Linked DNA regions of Saccharomyces cerevisiae S288C. The protein of the gene in region 1 binds, or shares a complex with, the protein of each later gene. Each region holds a gene or a part of one and is shown on either strand. Other genes may lie near its edges.

Region 1 (6,358 bases):
GTTTCATGGACCATGTCAGACCATAATTTTTTCCTAGTAATTAGGGCAAGCTTAATATCGTTCGTAGAGACATTTGGCTCCTTTTTGATTTCCAAAGACCGAATTTCGGAATACGTTAGCTGCTTCAACAGATGGTCATCTACTTCGACTTCGGGTAAAATACTCTTCCTTTTACATGATGTTTCAATAGAGTATAACTTTAGGAAATTGGTATTCAAACTTTTTTGTCTTATTCTTTTATTGGGCAAGAGCTCGCTAGATGCAATCGAACCGTCGGTCTCGGGCGATGGTGATGCAGATGGCCATTGTTCTAATTCTACCAGGTCATTTTCGTAAATCATGTTTTCTGTAGTCGATTTGCTCCTACTCTTCCTTCTTGAAGTCTTGCCGCCTTTCTTGTCGATGATTTGGAAGTCCACAGAGGTCGGACGAAGTTTGGCATCGGACGACGCAGAAACCAGTGAAAGGGCAGAGGACGATCGCGGACGCCGTTCGTATACGGGAGGAAAGATATCGACTAAATCCTTAACCTCCCAGTCGTCGAACAAATCGAGATCATTTATGTTTATTATTTTCATTTTGGGCACGACCGGCTCAGCCAGTACCTCATCGCCAATCGCGGGGGTCTGCAAATCGACAGCGTCAGCAATATCATCTGTCAAGGGATGAAGTTTAGAGGAGCTCAATGAAGAACAGTCGCTTTGAGCTTCCTCGGAGAACTTCCTCTTTATGCTCTGTGTTAAGTGGCCCTCATGTATGGGGCATTCGCCCGATAACGTCTTGGCGGAATTTGTTTTCCTAACTTGCGACATGACCGAGCTTAAGGACGGGGTCATCAAAGATGAGCGATTTTCGTTCAGCAGTTCGGAATCGTCTCGAGCCTTCAGTATTCTAGTCCTCTTGAAGCTATTCCTCTTGGTTAGTGTTCTAGTACGTTCAGCGCTTCCTTGACCATCGAACTGCGGCTTAGTGGAGTGGAAATAAATCTCATCGCTCACCGTCCTATTACTTGTGGCGGTCTTGTTCATGCTGGCGCTGGCTAACTTGTTATTCTTCTTATTAGTAGCGGTAGCGTAAAATGACTTGGGATAAAATACCTTTGATGAGTCGCTCCATGAGTGCAATGCGCCATCATCACGTATGCTTTTGATGAGGCAATGTTCATGCACATGAGCATCGTGCATTAGTGTGTGATTTGTGTTCACGTCCAGCAGCATTCTATAATTATGTCTTGTTGAAAGTGTTCTGTATGTTCGTGTCTATCCAAAGAAACAAGTAATTGAGAAAACTAGCCATCAAATACTTGTGAAGAAGCGAGTTTCCATTCTCTGTTTCACTCGTTTGGCGTTCTCACCATCCCACTTTTATTTCATTGGCTTTTTTAACACAATAAGGCGCCTTCAGCACCTTTGCCGCGCATTAAGGATGGCCACTGACGAAAAACCGGATAAAAAAAGACGAAAAAATGCCGTCTGACCCTAGTCAGGAGCCGCCTCATACACCCTAATTATTTTGGCGCTAAGCCCTAAGCATCATTATTACCCGACATGAAGCGACAGAAGCCCTACGGATGTGCGGCTGGAAAAGAAAGTTTCATGAAGAACCAGTTGATATATATTTTACTATATACTTTTGCTGTGTATTTCTATATGAGGCTAGTTGGTTGGTGGGAACTGGAAGTGAAAGTTCTGTTCTTTAGGGTGCAGCGGTTGCTGTTGCTGTTGCTGTTGCTGTTGCTGCTGTGGTTGGATTGATGCTTGTGATGTTTGTGGTGCCTGTGGTGCTTGTGGTACAGTTTTGCTGCCAGTTTGCTGCGAGTATGTAATTATGGGGTGAGCGGCATTTACATTAGGTGCTGGATTGATGGCTGGATTTGTTTTTTCGTAAGCGGCGATACTAGGCGTTGTGCTACTTGACATGTTTGCAAATGCATTATTAAACACTGGAGGTGAGACAGACTCGGTTAGTTCCCTTTTCTTTGCAAGCTCTTCGAGCCTTTTCTTTTCTTCCTTCATTTTTTTTCTTCTTTCACGGTCTTCCTGTTGTTTTCTTTGTTTGGCCCTTATTATTTTCAATTCAGGCACAAAAATGTTGCGCAGCTCAAGTTCCAAGTCCCTGATGCACCAAGCGCAGATAAAAGTGGAGCATTCAGACAGCGGTTTGCGTTTATCAGTAGGTCTTGAAGACTTGGTGCTGGGTTCAAGTGTGGATTGGGGTCTGCGAGAAGACCTTCTATTGCCGTGCGAATTTCCCATTATGATGACGCCAAAATCACGTTGCGACAGCGTGTGCTGTGGGGATTTTGTGGTTGAAGATATAAGCTCTATAATTTTTGGAGGTTGGCATTCCCAATGCTGCCACCTGTAACAATGATCACAGCATATCAATGGGCGGTTATTGAAGAGGTCAGTCTCCGTGTCTTCGGTGATAATCATGGGCGCCAGCTCTGGTTCGCCCGGACATTGGAAAACAGAATCTTGGTTGTCGGGCTCTTGCTGCGGAGTAAAGATCCCGTAGTTGGCAAGCTCATCTAGCTCTTCCTTTGTTATGCAGAAGTCACTAGGCAATTCAGGGACGTCTCCCGTCTGTAGTGGCCCAACAGTTCCAGGAATTGGTGGTTCCACCGGGATTATACTAGATTGAAAGTTAGGGCCGTGATCAAGAACTCCGATATCGATTTCATTTAAGGGATTGTCCTCCTCCCTGCCCAAAGACGTTTCAAAAAACGGTGTACCAGAACCACTTCTATCTTTGAGCTCGTTACGCCTGGTCAATTTTTCATCTCTATAATCTTGATCGTACAATTGCCACAATTGGTTCCAAAGAAGATCTTTTATCTTTTTGATTTCCTTCGACACTAGCTTGTTTCTGTGCCTTATAAATTGTTCTCTTTCATCTAGTTTTTCAAACCACTCACTTTCCAAGTCTTTTTTCTTGTTTTCTTCCTCTTTCGCTACCAGTCTCGAAGATCTTTTCCTCCTTGTCATTAGCTCCGCAATTGCTCTCTCCTTTTCTCTGTTGGCCAAAAGTTTTGCCGAATATAGTCTATGTTCGGCATACACCGGTATTAAGTTAGTTATGAACTCATCTATGGCTTTCGAACTTTTATTCTCTGACCAGTATTCTAGCATGGACCCCCAATTAGTTGTAATCACATCATAATCAATTGTAATCGATTGAAGATATGCATCGATATCGTGAGAGTACTCGAGATGAATAAGCTCCACTGAATCAGGAATGTCTGGGTCGCTTTCTTTTATAGTACAGTTCTGTAGTTTTATTGGGATATTCAGAGTTTGAGAGACTTGGGAGGAAGAGCCTTCTTTTACTCTGTGAATGGTTTTCTTTACGAGTACACCAACATTGGGTAAGGCAAACAAGCTCTTCATTTCCTCCCCTCCACTATTATCATCATCCAGTATAACTTCACTAAACGTAAACAGATGCAAGTTATTCGCTAAGTAGTTTTTGAAGATCATATTTTTCATTTCAATTAATTTTATGATACTGTAAATGATGTCGAATTGGCGTGCAATTTCAAGCTCCAAAAAAGGTAAGTCCGTAACCAAATCTGAATACGCGCTCGAGTTTTGCAAGTGATGGTTAACTATAACATTCCAATCTTTCAATTGCCCGCTTTTATTTCCCGCTAATTGATGCAATAATTGCAATCTAATTCTGTCGTACAAATTTTGCGATCCTTCATCTACGTCGACTTCATCATTGTAATAGTTCGAGTCCTTCCCGTCTATCTTCGAAAATACGTCAGTTACAAATACACCTTCATCGAATTTGATATTCTTCCACAAGCATTTGGTAGAGCTACCGCCATACTGGTCAGTATTAAATGTCGTTGTAGTATATGATTCGCAGACATTGGAAAGCCAAGCCATCACATACTGGAAGTGCCAGTGATTGGCCAAGTCCGCGATCTTCTCATCTAATATTTCAGAATACGGCAGCTGGTGCTTGTTCAATTGGGCTATTATGTCTTCGGAGACATATTCTTTCCAGTCTTCACTATCCGCATTCGCAGCGCCGGCAGGCATGCTCGCTCCTACATTTCTTGTACCCCTAGTTCTCTTCGTTCTCATCGATCGCTGATTCACCGCTTTGTATCTATATATGATTAGCCAGTGTGTATGAGTAAAATAGAGCAATTGATCTAGTTTCTTAGTCGTGTCACTATTGAATAAATAAATGTTAATGTTGCTGGAAAGGAAGAATTATGTCACTTTTGACGCTCTCGCATTCCGTGTGCGGTGATAGCGGTAACTTGGTCTAGCAACGAAAATTTAAAAAGGTTGGAAAAGGAAAAGAAGAGCTCAAGTGGACCTAGAAGTCCTGCTTTGCCACCGTTTAAGCAAGGAATAGAGCACGCCGTTGACACAAATTCACAGTCAAGGACGGGCCACGAGAACTTTATTACAAAATATACTGCATTACACGAAATTCAGCGGAACTCTGAGCGCGAACAGCATTAGGTACCGAGAAACGCTTTTCAAAAGAAATTTCTAAAAGTTTTATTGTGCCATTAATATCGCGGCTCAATTGTTAAGTATTTCACTATGCCTAATCCGAATACAGCAGATTACTTGGTGAATCCAAATTTCAGGACCAGTAAGGGCGGATCTTTATCGCCGACGCCAGAAGCTTTCAACGACACGCGAGTTGCTGCACCAGCCACTCTTCGCATGATGGGCAAGCAATCTGGACCAAGAAATGACCAGCAACAAGCACCACTGATGCCTCCTGCAGATATCAAACAGGGCAAGGAACAGGCAGCTCAGAGACAAAATGATGCATCGAGGCCTAATGGCGCCGTGGAATTAAGGCAATTTCATAGAAGATCTTTGGGAGATTGGGAGTTCCTTGAAACGGTTGGCGCAGGCTCTATGGGTAAAGTTAAATTGGTCAAGCATCGTCAAACAAAGGAAATTTGTGTAATAAAGATTGTTAATAGGGCTTCCAAGGCTTATCTCCATAAACAGCACTCTTTACCTTCCCCAAAGAATGAGAGTGAGATATTAGAAAGACAAAAGCGGTTAGAAAAAGAAATTGCGAGGGATAAAAGGACTGTTAGGGAAGCCTCTTTGGGCCAAATCCTTTACCATCCTCATATCTGTCGTTTATTTGAAATGTGCACTATGTCAAACCATTTTTATATGCTTTTTGAATACGTTTCCGGTGGACAGCTGTTAGATTATATTATTCAGCATGGCTCATTAAAGGAACACCATGCGAGGAAATTTGCCAGAGGTATAGCTAGTGCGCTGCAATACTTACATGCCAATAATATTGTTCATCGAGATCTGAAAATTGAGAATATAATGATATCTAGTTCAGGTGAAATTAAGATCATTGATTTTGGTCTTTCCAACATTTTTGATTATAGGAAACAATTACATACGTTTTGTGGTTCCTTGTACTTTGCAGCACCAGAACTATTAAAAGCGCAGCCATACACAGGACCTGAGGTAGATATTTGGTCGTTTGGTATTGTTCTTTATGTCTTGGTCTGCGGTAAAGTACCATTTGATGATGAGAACTCAAGCATTTTACATGAAAAAATAAAAAAAGGTAAAGTAGACTATCCTTCACACTTATCCATTGAAGTTATATCTTTATTAACCAGGATGATTGTTGTCGACCCATTAAGAAGAGCAACATTAAAGAATGTCGTTGAGCATCCATGGATGAACAGAGGATACGATTTTAAGGCTCCATCATATGTTCCTAATCGTGTTCCATTAACCCCTGAAATGATAGATAGCCAAGTTCTGAAGGAAATGTATCGCCTAGAATTTATTGACGATATTGAAGATACAAGAAGATCATTGATCCGATTAGTAACTGAAAAGGAATACATCCAACTTTCCCAAGAATACTGGGACAAATTATCCAACGCCAAGGGGTTGAGTTCAAGTTTAAATAATAACTACCTAAATTCAACGGCACAACAAACCTTAATACAAAATCATATTACAAGTAATCCATCGCAAAGTGGTTATAATGAACCAGATAGTAATTTTGAAGATCCTACTTTAGCATATCATCCATTACTATCAATATATCACTTGGTTTCAGAAATGGTTGCACGGAAATTAGCGAAGTTGCAAAGAAGGCAAGCATTGGCCCTGCAAGCGCAAGCTCAGCAAAGGCAACAACAGCAACAAGTAGCACTTGGCACTAAGGTCGCCTTAAATAATAACTCCCCGGATATTATGACCAAAATGAGGAGCCCTCAGAAAGAAGTAGTACCTAATCCTGGTATTTTTCAAGTGCCGGCAATTGGAACATCGGGAACCTCAAACAACACTAATACCTCAAACAAACCTCCACTGCATGTAATGGTTCC
Region 2 (7,325 bases), on another chromosome or scaffold:
GGGATGGCTGCAATGGCAGGCAAGAAAAACTTATGTCTCCAACGTAAATCAAATAAATCATCAGCGATACCCAAGAGGACCGTACTTTCCAAGCATAGGATAGCGCTCAAATATTCAGATAGTTTATCATGAGGAAAAATATTAGAATTCATACCGTTATCTTCAACCACTGAGACATCGCGATGGCCCCCACCTGAAGTGGTTATGACCATATACTTGTAGAAAATGAAGGGAATGTAAATGAACATTACAAATAAATAAACTGCAGCAGGGATAGCACCTATTGTTTCTGGAAGCACCGGACGGCCAGGTTTACTCAAGTCCTTACCGAATAGGCCTATTTTGATGAAGGATTTGCCCACACGTGGAATCAACATATCTGTAGCTAAATAGCCTGCTATACCAAATCCCACGGCCGCAACAAGAGCAGATGGGCCCTGATTTTTGGAATAGTAGATTAAGCATGTGATAAGTGCCAGTGAAAAAAGTCGCAACATATAGTCTACTTTTTGTTACCGTTCTCCGCCTTGCTCTACTTGATAAAGTTTTTATTTACATATTTCACAGTTATATACACATGTTAACAATTTAATTTTCGCGCTGTTTAGTAAAGCATTTTTCGAGATTGAGGCAATATAAAAGGAAAGGGCCATATACAGGAGATGAAGGAAACCTGTACTATTATTGTATTAAACACATGGTAGTAGCTAGAAAAAATTCATGCATCAACCTCTGTGTTTGTATTCGTAACATATAAATCCACAAGAAATTTTTTACTCATCATCCGCTAAAAAAAGGAAAATACGGACGTTACTTACTAAATGTACGACGAACATGTACACAAATCTTGACTATTTTTGATAGATGCAGTCTCTTGAAATGACCAACGACTCAGTAGTGTTTTCCAAGCAATTTTACTTTCAACTGTTTAATATTTTTTAGAGGCTACTCGGCCGGCCATATCTAGACAATTAGTAATTCCGATGACAAAGAGTTTAAAACCACAATATCTGCCACACATATCGTGAAAGGCATTAGTTCCATTGTCTCCGTATTAGTGCAAAGCCCCTAAGCCAGCCTGCTTTAAAAAATGTGCAGGTACTTTTGTTATTGTTTTGATATATAAAGAACTACTATTTGCTAATATGTGATGTAGCGCAGAGAACTTGCATTTCCCTGCATGGCTGACCTTGACAAGAATACAATTAGCAACAAAAAGTAATAATTCAAAATGACCACATCTTTTTATGATTTAGAATGCAAGGACAAGAAAGGCGAATCTTTTAAGTTTGACCAACTGAAAGGCAAAGTAGTTCTCATAGTTAATGTTGCCTCCAAGTGCGGCTTCACGCCGCAGTATAAAGAATTGGAAGAACTATACAAAAAATATCAAGATAAGGGGTTTGTTATTTTGGGGTTCCCATGTAATCAGTTCGGGAAGCAGGAACCGGGCTCTGATGAACAAATTACGGAATTTTGCCAGTTGAATTATGGCGTTACATTCCCAATTATGAAGAAGATTGATGTTAACGGAAGTAATGCTGACTCTGTCTATAATTATTTGAAAAGCCAAAAAGCAGGTTTACTAGGTTTCAAGGGTATCAAATGGAATTTTGAAAAGTTCTTAGTTGATTCCAATGGTAAGGTTGTCCAAAGATTTTCCTCCTTAACAAAACCATCGTCCTTGGACCAAGAAATCCAAAGCCTGTTAAGTAAATGATATCTTTGTCTATAATCAAGCAATTATCCGGAACAATAAATAATACATTTATAGATTAGTATGATTATATATTTTTCTTCAGAAGCATGGTGTAGGATATATTAAAAAAAATCGAAATATAAAAAAAGAAGGTTTAATGAGTGGTTTCGTTTTCCGGAATTTTCTCTGCTACCAACTGTTCAGTTCCAACATTCGACGTATCCTCAATCTTCGCTTTTTTGCTCTCTACTCCATCAACGTTCTCCTTCTCATTAGCGGTCTGATCTGCAAATTCTTCCCTTATCCTTTTACCATTTTCATCTTCTTTCTTCATTCTATCTTTAGTGGCGTCATCCAATACAATCCCTGCGTTAAATTCCTTTTCCAAGCATTGCAGTAATGTATTTCCTCTTCTGGCTAGCTCTACAGGTGTCCTGCTTCTGAAGTAAAAGTCTAATTCGAATAGGGGACAATCTCTAATTTCATCACGCACTAATTCGTATACGTCATCTCTATCCAAGCCATACTTGAATAACATGAGAAGGATAAAACGATCTTCTTCTTCAGAGTACGTCCTTTTGTTGTTAGAAGAAGGAGGATGTTTTAATTTCAAATCGAAGAATGGATTCTTATACTCAGACAACTTCCGACGTAAAGCCTCTTGTTGCATTTTGACACGCTTGATCTTCTCTTCTTCATTCTCAATTATTTTCAGATATTTCTCATAATCTTCAATTCTTTCAATGTTAGACCAGAAGGCCTTAGCATATGCGCGAACTTCCTCTAGTGTTTTGCCAGGGGCCAATTCTCTCGCAATGGCTTGAATGGAGTTCCTACCGTATTTACCAGATACCGTGATGAATTTTCTAAATTCTAATTTATTCCAATTTGTAAATCCTTCAGACTCCCAATCAGCCTTCATCTTTTCTTCCTCTTCAGTTAATGGTTGCGAGTTGTTAACCGACAATTTTAACAATTCCAATTTTTGTTTCTTTTCTTCTTCATCTGAAATATCGCCATATGCTGCTTTTACGTCATCCATGGTCGGTACATAACCAGTCTTCTTCGCCGTCCACATTCTTTCCTTTTCGTACAGGACTTTCAATTGGGGAGGTTGTAATTGATGGGAATGGAAGACATGAGGCTTAGGCATTCTGGGGTGTGATGGGGTCGAGGACCTTCCTGTATTCAAAACATCTTTATAATAATTATCAATAGAGTAATTTTCCTTACGTTCACGTTTGGTGGGGTTGAGCAGTAGCGGACTTATAATATCCCTTTGTATTTTCTTCTTGAAATCTTGACCATTCCATTCATAGGCCGAATCTTGGTTGAATTTTTGCAAATCATCAAGACCTAAAGTTTCATATTTTGCATTTAATGACTTAGTTTTGTTTTCTGATTTCAGTAAAAGTTCGTCCAGATCAATATCATCTCCTTTTTCTCCTGAACCAGGTTCCGGCGTACCAGCTGAACCGGTAGATGTACCACTTTTGAATACATCGGCGGCACCATGTTGAATCATGGATAATAAAGCATCTTTGGAATCTGCTTTATTTTCCTTCTTTTTCAAAGAAGTCCTGTTTTGCTGGATAACTAATTGATCTAATCTTAACTTCTGGGTAGCCCTTTCTAAAATTTTCTCTTCCACGGAGTTATCTGTGACCAAACGGAATACCTTGACCTGCTTCTTCTGACCAATACGATGCGCTCTATCCATTGCTTGTAAATCTGCTTGTGGGTTCCAATCTGAATCATACAAGACAACGACATCTGCTGACGTTAAATTGATACCTAACCCACCTGCACGTGTCGTTAATAAGAAAACAAACTTCTTAGAATCAGGAGCATTATAATCATCAATGGCTTGAATTCTATCTTCGTGAGCGGTGGAACCGTCGATCCTGCAATATTCATAGTTTCTGAAGTAGCAATAATCCTCGAGAATATCCAATAATCTTGACATTTGACTGAAAATCAGAACTCTAGAACCTTCTTCCTTCAATTTCTTCAATAACTTATCCAAAACTTGAAGTTTGGCAGCGTTATAAACCAAGTGCTCATCCGTAGTGTACGGTGGACCTGGCTCAGCACCATCGAATAAATATGGATGATTACAACATTTTCTAAGTTGCATCATGATATTTAAAAGTCTTGTTTTGGATTCCTTGCTGCCATTAGACCCGTTCACAGCGTCCAGATCCTTTTCCAAAATCTTTTTGTACCATTTCTTCTGCATGCTAGACATACCGACATATAAATTCAGTTCCTTTTTAGGCAGTAAGGATGTTTCCACATCGCTTTTGATACGACGTAGTAGAAAAGGCTGTAAAACAGTGTGGAGTTGCTTGACAATTTTATCCTGATCTTCCTCTGTGCTTTCAGAAGAAAACCAATCGTCGAAATCTTGTGCATCGGAAAAGATATCTGGTAACAAAAAATTTAATAACGCCCATAGTTCATGCAAATTGTTTTGCAAAGGAGTACCAGTAATCAACAGCCTATTACGTGAGGTAAATTCCCTTAAGACTTGCGAAAGCATTGACTCTTCATTCTTGATTCTGTGAGCCTCATCAATGATAATATACTCCCAGTTAATCTTCTTAAGGGGCGACTTTTCTCTTATAATAATTTCATAAGAAGCAATCACAACATCAAAGTCACAACCTAAAAGTTTTTTTTGGATCAGTTCAGCTCTTTCTTCTTTATCTCCTTGCAAAATAAAGGCGTTTACGTCTGGCGTCCATCTATTTATTTCTCTCAGCCAATTATTTAAGGTAGACTTAGGCGCAATGACTAAAAATGGACCTGGAATTTTTTCAATGTACCTAAGATATCCCAGAAATGAAATAGTTTGCAGGGTCTTACCTAAACCCATTTCATCAGCAAGGATACCCGCTATTTTGTTCTTATGCAGAGACACCAACCAGTTGACACCTTGGATTTGATAAGGTCTCAATTGACCATTAACGTAAGCAGGTGATTCTCTGAATTGGAATTCAATGCTCTCATCATCATCCGAGTCTTCTTCTTTCAATAATTCCGCATCTTCTTCGTGTTCAGTCTTTCGTCTACGAACATCTTGGTGTTTGCCTTTGCCTTTGCCATTTGCTTTATTTTCTTCTAATACATCTAAGACCTGCCTGAATTTGGGATCTTTAGCGGCTTTACTTTCAATAAAATGCTTGAATAAACCACTCAAGGATAGCAGATGTTCAAATCTTTTTGTAGTGCCTTCCAGATCAAACTTTTTACCATTAGCATCCTTCAGCAGGTAACGTTTTTTATTCGATTCAGGATCATGTGGAGGGAGACCGACCTGGAACGGTTTTAAATTCTCCAAGTACTCTTCTGAAGCAGTCATAATTGAACCAGATGAAATACAATCGTATTTTTTTTTTTCTTGCAAAAATATGGCGAGAATAATTTTGAATAGGTTCTCATCTTTGTCCTTTTCATTGCAAGAATTGTTTTCGTGTTTTTTTCTCATTCTAGTATAGAACTTGAAAAAGTGAAAATTTGCAATAGCTAACATATAGGCCATAATAGGGTATTTCTACATCCACCTCTAGCTGGTTTTTGCATAGCTATACATATGGACTCTATTCAAGAATCAGATGTACTAAATGCAGTGAAAACAAAACTACCGCCGTGTTGTTTGAGAATATTCAGGAATAAGATCATCCTTGTTGGGACGTATGATTTAGATAAGTCAACTGGATACAGGTCAGGCTCACTGGATGTCTTCACAATGGACCTCAAACTTTTATGTTCGAATAATACGTATGGCGCAATCCTAGATTTGAAGTTATCCCCCTTTGATGATACATTGATATGCACGGCCCATTCGACAGGTAATATCATGCTATGGAGGATACGGTGCACAGATAAGGATGATTTCCAATCAAACGAACTAGATATTCATGCAATTGCAAATCTACAACTCTTTGAAAAAGATGTTCTCATTGCCTCGTGCCATTTTTCCCCACTTGATTGTAAGAAATTACTTGTAACAAATACGGCAGGCGAAGCAGCTACCATTGATATAAGAACACTATCTGTACAGTTCACGGCATCAGCAATCGCGCAGGCTTACTCAAAACTAGATAAAATAGATTACGAAGTTCAAGGTGCAACCGAAAAAGTCATTCATGTTGAATCGGGACAATTTTTGAAACCCCATGAACTCGAGTGTTGGACTGCGGAATTTGGATCTCTACAGCCTTTTCAAGACGTTGTATTTACAGGAGGTGATGATTCGAGAATTATGGCCCACGACTTACGTTCCAAAGAATTCATTTGGAGTAATAATCGTATTCATGATGCTGGTGTTGTTAGCATTAAGTGTAGTCAACCTAACTTTCGAAATAATAAACCCACGTCCATAATAACTGGATCCTATGATGATAACATTCGTTCTCTGGATTTAAGGATGATGGGTGAGTCCATATTTCCTGGTGCAAATGTCCCCACAGTTAATAAATTGGCGTGTGATCTTGGTGGCGGTGTTTGGAGATTTGTTGAATCCCCCATTGATCAGGAACAATCTCACCACAACGGCTCCGATCGGCTTTTAGTTTGTTGCATGTACAATGGTGCCAAGGTGGTGACCATGAATGATAATTCCGATGAGTATTTTCAAATTCAACATTATCTGAAGAAGGGCCATGATTCGATGTGTTACGGTGGCGACTGGTCAAATTCTTTGATCGCAACATGCTCATTTTATGATAATTCCTTGCAAACATGGATAGTTTAGAAAAAAAAATTCAGTCTGCAATATATGGACTAATATATAGGCTAATATATAGGCTAATATATAGGCTAATATATAGGCCATATTTTGATGATTTCGATAGATTATGCATAAAGAATTGATAGGAAGGAACTTGCCTGAACAATAATCTTTTACTCTATATTTTCTACTTATTATACATGATTCAGAAGCTTTGTTGAAAGGGGGAAAGACCGAGCGATATAAAATTGATGAAAAATTGATATTACAGCATCAATTGACATCAATCATTAAATCATCATTAGCTTCCTGTGGATCAACAAACTCCCTGCTGGCTCCTGCCAATAGTTCTCTTCTAATCTCAGGACCGATATCTTTATGGCCTCTTTGACGAACAGTTTCCAACAAGAAATCTCTCTGATCCTGGGTAATATCGTTCTTGTAACGTTGTGCAAATGTTAAGAAAGCCTTGTGCCATATCACTGGGAGTACTCTTGTAGCATCTTCCCCATTACTACCGTCATCCAAAATTCTAAACCTCATAAAGTAATACACGCAGTCGTCCACCGTCTGGTACGGTAAAGCATATTTTTTATCGAGCAATATTTTGATAAAAACAGTTGTAGGTGGAGAGAAAGGTAGCCTTAAAAGATAACTCAAGGCAGCTGAAGAATGTAAAGCCGGAACAGAGACTTTAGCAAGCACACTTCCTGCAATTGTCGCTTCACGTACATTACACCCTGTTTCAACCAATGGGAATAGGAAACCTTTGAAGAAGGCACTTGGTTTATAAAGCGATTTTTTCACCGCACGGTATATATGATAGTTTAAAGAGTGGTCTTCACTGGTCTCGATATTGTCACGGAAACGTTCAAGTAAAATTAGGTTAAT
Region 3 (5,397 bases), on another chromosome or scaffold:
GAATTATCAGACTCCTTTAAAGAACTTCCACCGATCAATTCTCGTCAAACTAATTCCAGTTTGGGTGGTATTGGTGACTCTAATGCCTATACTACTATCAACAGTAAGAAAAGATCATTAGAAGATAATGAAACTGAAATTAAGGTATCACGAGACACATGGAATACTAAGAATATGCGTAGTTTAGAACCTCCGAGATCGAAGAAACGAATCCACCTGATTGCAGCTGTAAAAGCAGTAAAATCAATCAAACCAATACGAACAACCTTACGATACGATGAGGCAATCACCTATAATAAAGATATTAAAGAAAAAGAAAAATATATCGAGGCATACCACAAAGAAGTCAATCAACTGTTGAAGATGAAAACTTGGGACACTGACAAATATTATGACAGAAAAGAAATAGACCCTAAAAGAGTAATAAATTCAATGTTTATCTTCAACAGGAAACGTGACGGTACTCATAAAGCTAGATTTGTTGCAAGAGGTGATATTCAGCATCCTGACACTTACGACTCAGGCATGCAATCCAATACCGTACATCACTATGCATTAATGACATCCCTGTCACTTGCATTAGACAATAACTACTATATTACACAATTAGACATATCTTCGGCATATTTGTATGCAGACATCAAAGAAGAATTATACATAAGACCTCCACCACATTTAGGAATGAATGATAAGTTGATACGTTTGAAGAAATCACTTTATGGATTGAAACAAAGTGGAGCGAACTGGTACGAAACTATCAAATCATACCTGATAAAACAGTGTGGTATGGAAGAAGTTCGTGGATGGTCATGCGTATTTGAAAACAGTCAAGTGACAATTTGTTTATTCGTAGATGATATGGTACTGTTTAGCAAAAATCTAAATTCAAACAAAAGAATTATAGACAAGCTTAAGATGCAATACGACACCAAGATTATAAATCTAGGCGAAAGTGATGAGGAAATTCAATATGACATTCTTGGCTTGGAAATCAAATACCAAAGAGGTAAATACATGAAATTGGGTATGGAAAACTCATTAACTGAAAAAATACCCAAACTAAACGTACCTTTGAACCCAAAAGGAAGGAAACTTAGCGCTCCAGGTCAACCAGGTCTATATATAGACCAGCAAGAACTAGAGCTAGAAGAAGATGATTACAAAATGAAGGTACATGAAATGCAAAAGCTGATAGGTCTAGCATCATATGTTGGATATAAATTTAGATTTGACCTATTATACTACATCAACACACTTGCACAACATATACTATTTCCGTCCAAGCAAGTGTTAGATATGACATATGAATTGATACAGTTCATATGGAATACGAGAGATAAGCAATTAATATGGCACAAAAGCAAACCTGTTAAGCCAACAAATAAATTAGTTGTTATAAGCGATGCATCGTATGGTAACCAACCGTATTATAAATCACAAATTGGCAACATATATTTACTTAATGGAAAAGTAATTGGAGGAAAGTCCACCAAGGCTTCATTAACATGTACTTCAACTACGGAAGCAGAAATACACGCAATAAGTGAATCTGTCCCATTATTAAATAATCTAAGTTACCTGATACAAGAACTCGACAAGAAACCAATTACCAAAGGATTACTAACCGACAGTAAATCTACAATCAGTATAATTATATCCAATAATGAAGAGAAATTTAGAAACAGATTTTTTGGTACTAAAGCAATGAGACTGAGAGATGAAGTATCAGGAAATCATCTGCACGTATGCTATATCGAAACCAAAAAGAATATTGCAGACGTAATGACCAAACCTCTTCCGATAAAAACATTCAAACTATTAACAAACAAATGGATTCATTAGATCTATTACATTATGGGTGGTATGTTGGAATAAAAATCCACTATCGTCTATCAACTAATAGTTATATTATCAATATATTATCATATACGGTGTTAAGATGATGACATAAGTTATGAGAAGCTGTCATCGAAGTTAGAGGAAGCTGAAGTGCAAGGATTGATAATGTAATAGGATAATGAAACATATAAAACGGAATGAGGAATAATCGTAATATTAGTATGTAGAAATATAGATTCCATTTTGAGGATTCCTATATCCTTGAGGAGAACTTCTAGTATATTCTGTATACCTAATATTATAGCCTTTATCAACAATGGAATCCCAACAATTATCTCAACATTCCCCCATTTCTCAAATGATAATGCACAACAGACTTAGAACTTTAATTGTAATAATACAGCACAGTCTAGGTGAGTTTTGGACTATCAAAGACTGCGTCATACATATCAGAACATACACAAGTTACATAGTTTTAGTCTATTTTATAGTACACAGGTTTCCCCTCTATTGTTCAAAAGCAGAGTACATCAACTGCAATAGCAACAGGTCATGCTCCTACTTTGCTTTCTTCTTCCTTTACGTCTTCACTAAAGCTCGGCTTTTCCCGATCCATTTCTTCAATTTCCATATTTTGCTCTAGTTGCCAATCTTCCGTATCAGGTATGAACTGGTAGGAATAAATATGCTTGAAAATATCCTGGAAACGATCCCACAGATCCCATTTGTTCAGTTCCCTTTTTCTTAAGTTAAATAATATCCTAAAGTTTAACAGTAGGGAATTATTTGATTGGAAAATTGTTATAAATTCGTTTCTGGACCCCCTGGTGTCAAGGGCAATCTGCAATTCATCTAATATTATTTCGAAATCATCCTTTATCGAAACAGCCTGGTTAATGGCTGAACATAAGACATCACACAGGAGCTTGTTGATACCTGCTAGTTTATCCTCCAGATCTAGCTTAATCTCCACATGCTTTTCTAGATTTTTCTTCTGCGACAGTTTTTTCGCAATCGGATCCATCGTTTTTTCGATTGATAGATCTTGTGGGCCCAACCCAACAATGCTCCAATCTTCATCATCTTCAAAATGATATTTGATTGGCTTAGGTGGTTTAGGTTTCTCTTTCTTTGCCTTTGTTTTTGGATTTGGTTTAGTCTTGGATACTACAACTTTCTTAGTTTTGGTCCTTTGCGGCCTCTTTCTAACAGCCTCTTGTACTTTTTCCTCCTCTTCCTCCTCTTCCTCTTCTGAAGCATCTATCGCTTGTTGCCTAGTCGATCTAGTAACTCTTTTCCTTTTATTGCTATTACCGCCCTCACTCTTTTCCGTTTCTGAGGCGCGCTTCTGACGCTGTCTACTGGAAGACCTGGTTGGCCTTATAGCCTTTTTTTCAGGTTCGTTCTCTTCTTCCTCTTCCTCTACATATTCCTCTTCATCTGGCTTGCCGTAAGACCCATATTCCACAAATTCCCAAATATCAATTCCATTTTTGCCTCTCATAGCCATTTCATATGCCGGTATGAGTTTCTTATTCTTCCGCTGTTTGCCGCTTAGCCACTTACGACAATCTTCGCTTGTTAGAATCTTCATATCCATGGGCTTCACCCAGATATAAGAATCATCGCAAAAAAACTTGACGCAGTAAGTCGATTTCAACGTATCATTTTTACGAAACTTCAGAACGGGAGTGTATATTATAAATTTTTCAGGATTAGCCTCACTCTCACCAAAATCCTCTATATCTTCTTCTTCTTCGCTTTGCTCTCGATCTCTAGCCTCTGATTCCATGTCTGCATCTATATCTTCATTTGCTTTTTTATCACTACCTGATTTGCCTTTGTGGACACTCACAGGTTTGGTCTTGAGGATGTTATCTGGGATGAGTTCATTAGGGATAATCATTGCTGGCCATGCTGAAAAGCCTTTAACTTTGGCAAGGACAATGTCCGTTGGCTGGAATATCGCTTCAGACATTATCGGAGAATGACACGCCGTTCTGAAAAATGTAGTTAACAATTTCTTCGTCAATTCTTACTTTACCAATATTGATATAACGCTTAAAAAACTGGCAGCTACATGCGTAGATTTATTTCACTGTTAACGGGGAGCCACGATATTTTCCGTACACTCGTATAAAAGTATATAACTTACAATACTGGCAATGAAATTAGACCGAGAGGCATTTATATGGTAATGATTATACAACTAAAAAAAGATTAGCATTAAAAGCAATGTAATTAACATTATAATTTTTTTGGAAATGTGTGTATGTGAGTAAAGTATACAAGTTATGTGTGGTTTCTCATATTTTTATATTCTTAAAGTTTTATATTTATATTTTATATATCCGGGGAAGGAGAAGGGGAGATTTGATTGAATCTTCTTGCCTATGAAAGAAAGTGGCAGCAAAATGAAATGAGGCAAAGAAACAAACCAGAAGTAATCGTAAAAAAAAAGGTAAGTGCCGATGACTAAGGTACTTCCTATTCTTTTACCGACATAGGGCTTTTTTCAATATAGAGTAATGTACGTTTTTGTTCTTGTTGTCTATCTTTCTTTAATTGGTACGGAAACAGCTTTTTCCTCTTAATGCTCGTCTATGAATTATATACGGAAATCGATAAGATTAGTATTGGCCTTGTTGCGGTTCTTGAAAGTATTGTTGGTAGGCAGCATTCTGTTCAGCATTCAGATAGGGGGAGGCAGCGTTGGCAAAAGCCTGTTGGTGAGGCTGATGAATGCCGGTGAGGGGTTGTTGTTGTTGCTGCTGTTGCTGCTGTTGCAGTTGTTGTTGTTGTTGTTGCTGTTGCTGTGGCTGCGATTGTTGCGGATGTGGTATTCCTTGCTGTGGTCGAGGATGCTGTGACATTTGTTGCTGTGACATTTGCTGCTGTGGTTGTTGTTGCTGTTGCTGTTGTGGTTGTGAATTCTGCGTGTGATGTTGCTGCTGTTGAATCATTGAGTTTTGATTAGGATTGGCACCGCCTAGCAATTGTGACTTCACCTCTTGTTTCAGCGCGCCTGCCGGTACCTGATCTTGATTTAGATGGCCTAAGCTATTTGCGTGTGCATTCAATACTTGTTGCTGTTGTTGCGGTTGCTGTTGTTGTGGTTGCTGGCGTTGCATATCATTACCATCATCGTCATCATCATCATCATCATCACCGTCTTCCTCCTCGTCTTCTTCCTCATCATCAGGGGCGTTAAGACAGGCCTGGATCAGGTTTCTACCTTCCTGCTGCGTGACTATAGGTTCAAACTTCGGCGTGCTGAAAGTATATACCAAACCTGTTTCTGAAACGACTAGCAACAGGACCTGGGTCCCCGTTAGAACAGAAAGCTCAAACGCCTTTTTCATGATACCGTGCTTCCTTTTGGAAAATGTCACATGGCGCCTTGTTTTATTCTCGATGAACTTAATTTCTATCTTTCTTCTCTCCTTCTGTTGCCCATTATTAGTAGGCGTACCTTCTTCGATGTCTGACATTTTTGCTGGGTGGCTATAATATTGTTGCGTGACAGCAAGTCTTGCAGATCCAAAACTTTTTTTTGAT

The links.
Region 2: IOC2 (region 1) and ISW1 share a complex: the UniProt entries of both Saccharomyces cerevisiae proteins name them as parts of the ISW1B complex.
Region 3: IOC2 (region 1) and IOC4 share a complex: the UniProt entries of both Saccharomyces cerevisiae proteins name them as parts of the ISW1B complex.

The regions. Positions count from the first base shown.
Region 1 is NC_001144.5:328,022-334,379, forward strand, and holds IOC2 (Ioc2p), read right to left. Parts: upstream 4,095-6,358; coding exon 1,656-4,094; downstream 1-1,655. Other genes in the region: GIS3 (Gis3p), read right to left, coding at 1-1,217; serine/threonine protein kinase KIN2, read left to right, coding at 4,569-6,358. UniProt on the Saccharomyces cerevisiae protein: Functions as a component of the ISW1B complex, which acts in remodeling the chromatin by catalyzing an ATP-dependent alteration in the structure of nucleosomal DNA.
Region 2 is NC_001134.8:706,297-713,621, forward strand, and holds ISW1 (chromatin-remodeling ATPase ISW1), read right to left. Parts: upstream 5,244-7,325; coding exon 1,854-5,243; downstream 1-1,853. Other genes in the region: ALG7 (UDP-N-acetylglucosamine--dolichyl-phosphate N-acetylglucosaminephosphotransferase), read right to left, coding at 1-497; glutathione peroxidase GPX2, read left to right, coding at 1,232-1,720; RRT2 (diphthamide synthase), read left to right, coding at 5,295-6,458; snoRNA-binding rRNA-processing protein ENP1, read right to left, coding at 6,708-7,325. UniProt on the Saccharomyces cerevisiae protein: Catalytic component of ISW1-type complexes, which act by remodeling the chromatin by catalyzing an ATP-dependent alteration in the structure of nucleosomal DNA. They are involved in coordinating transcriptional repression, activation and elongation phases.
Region 3 is NC_001145.3:353,804-359,200, reverse strand, and holds IOC4 (Ioc4p), read right to left. Parts: upstream 3,818-5,397; coding exon 2,390-3,817; downstream 1-2,389. Other genes in the region: transcription factor MCM1, read right to left, coding at 4,470-5,330. UniProt on the Saccharomyces cerevisiae protein: Functions as a component of the ISW1B complex, which acts in remodeling the chromatin by catalyzing an ATP-dependent alteration in the structure of nucleosomal DNA.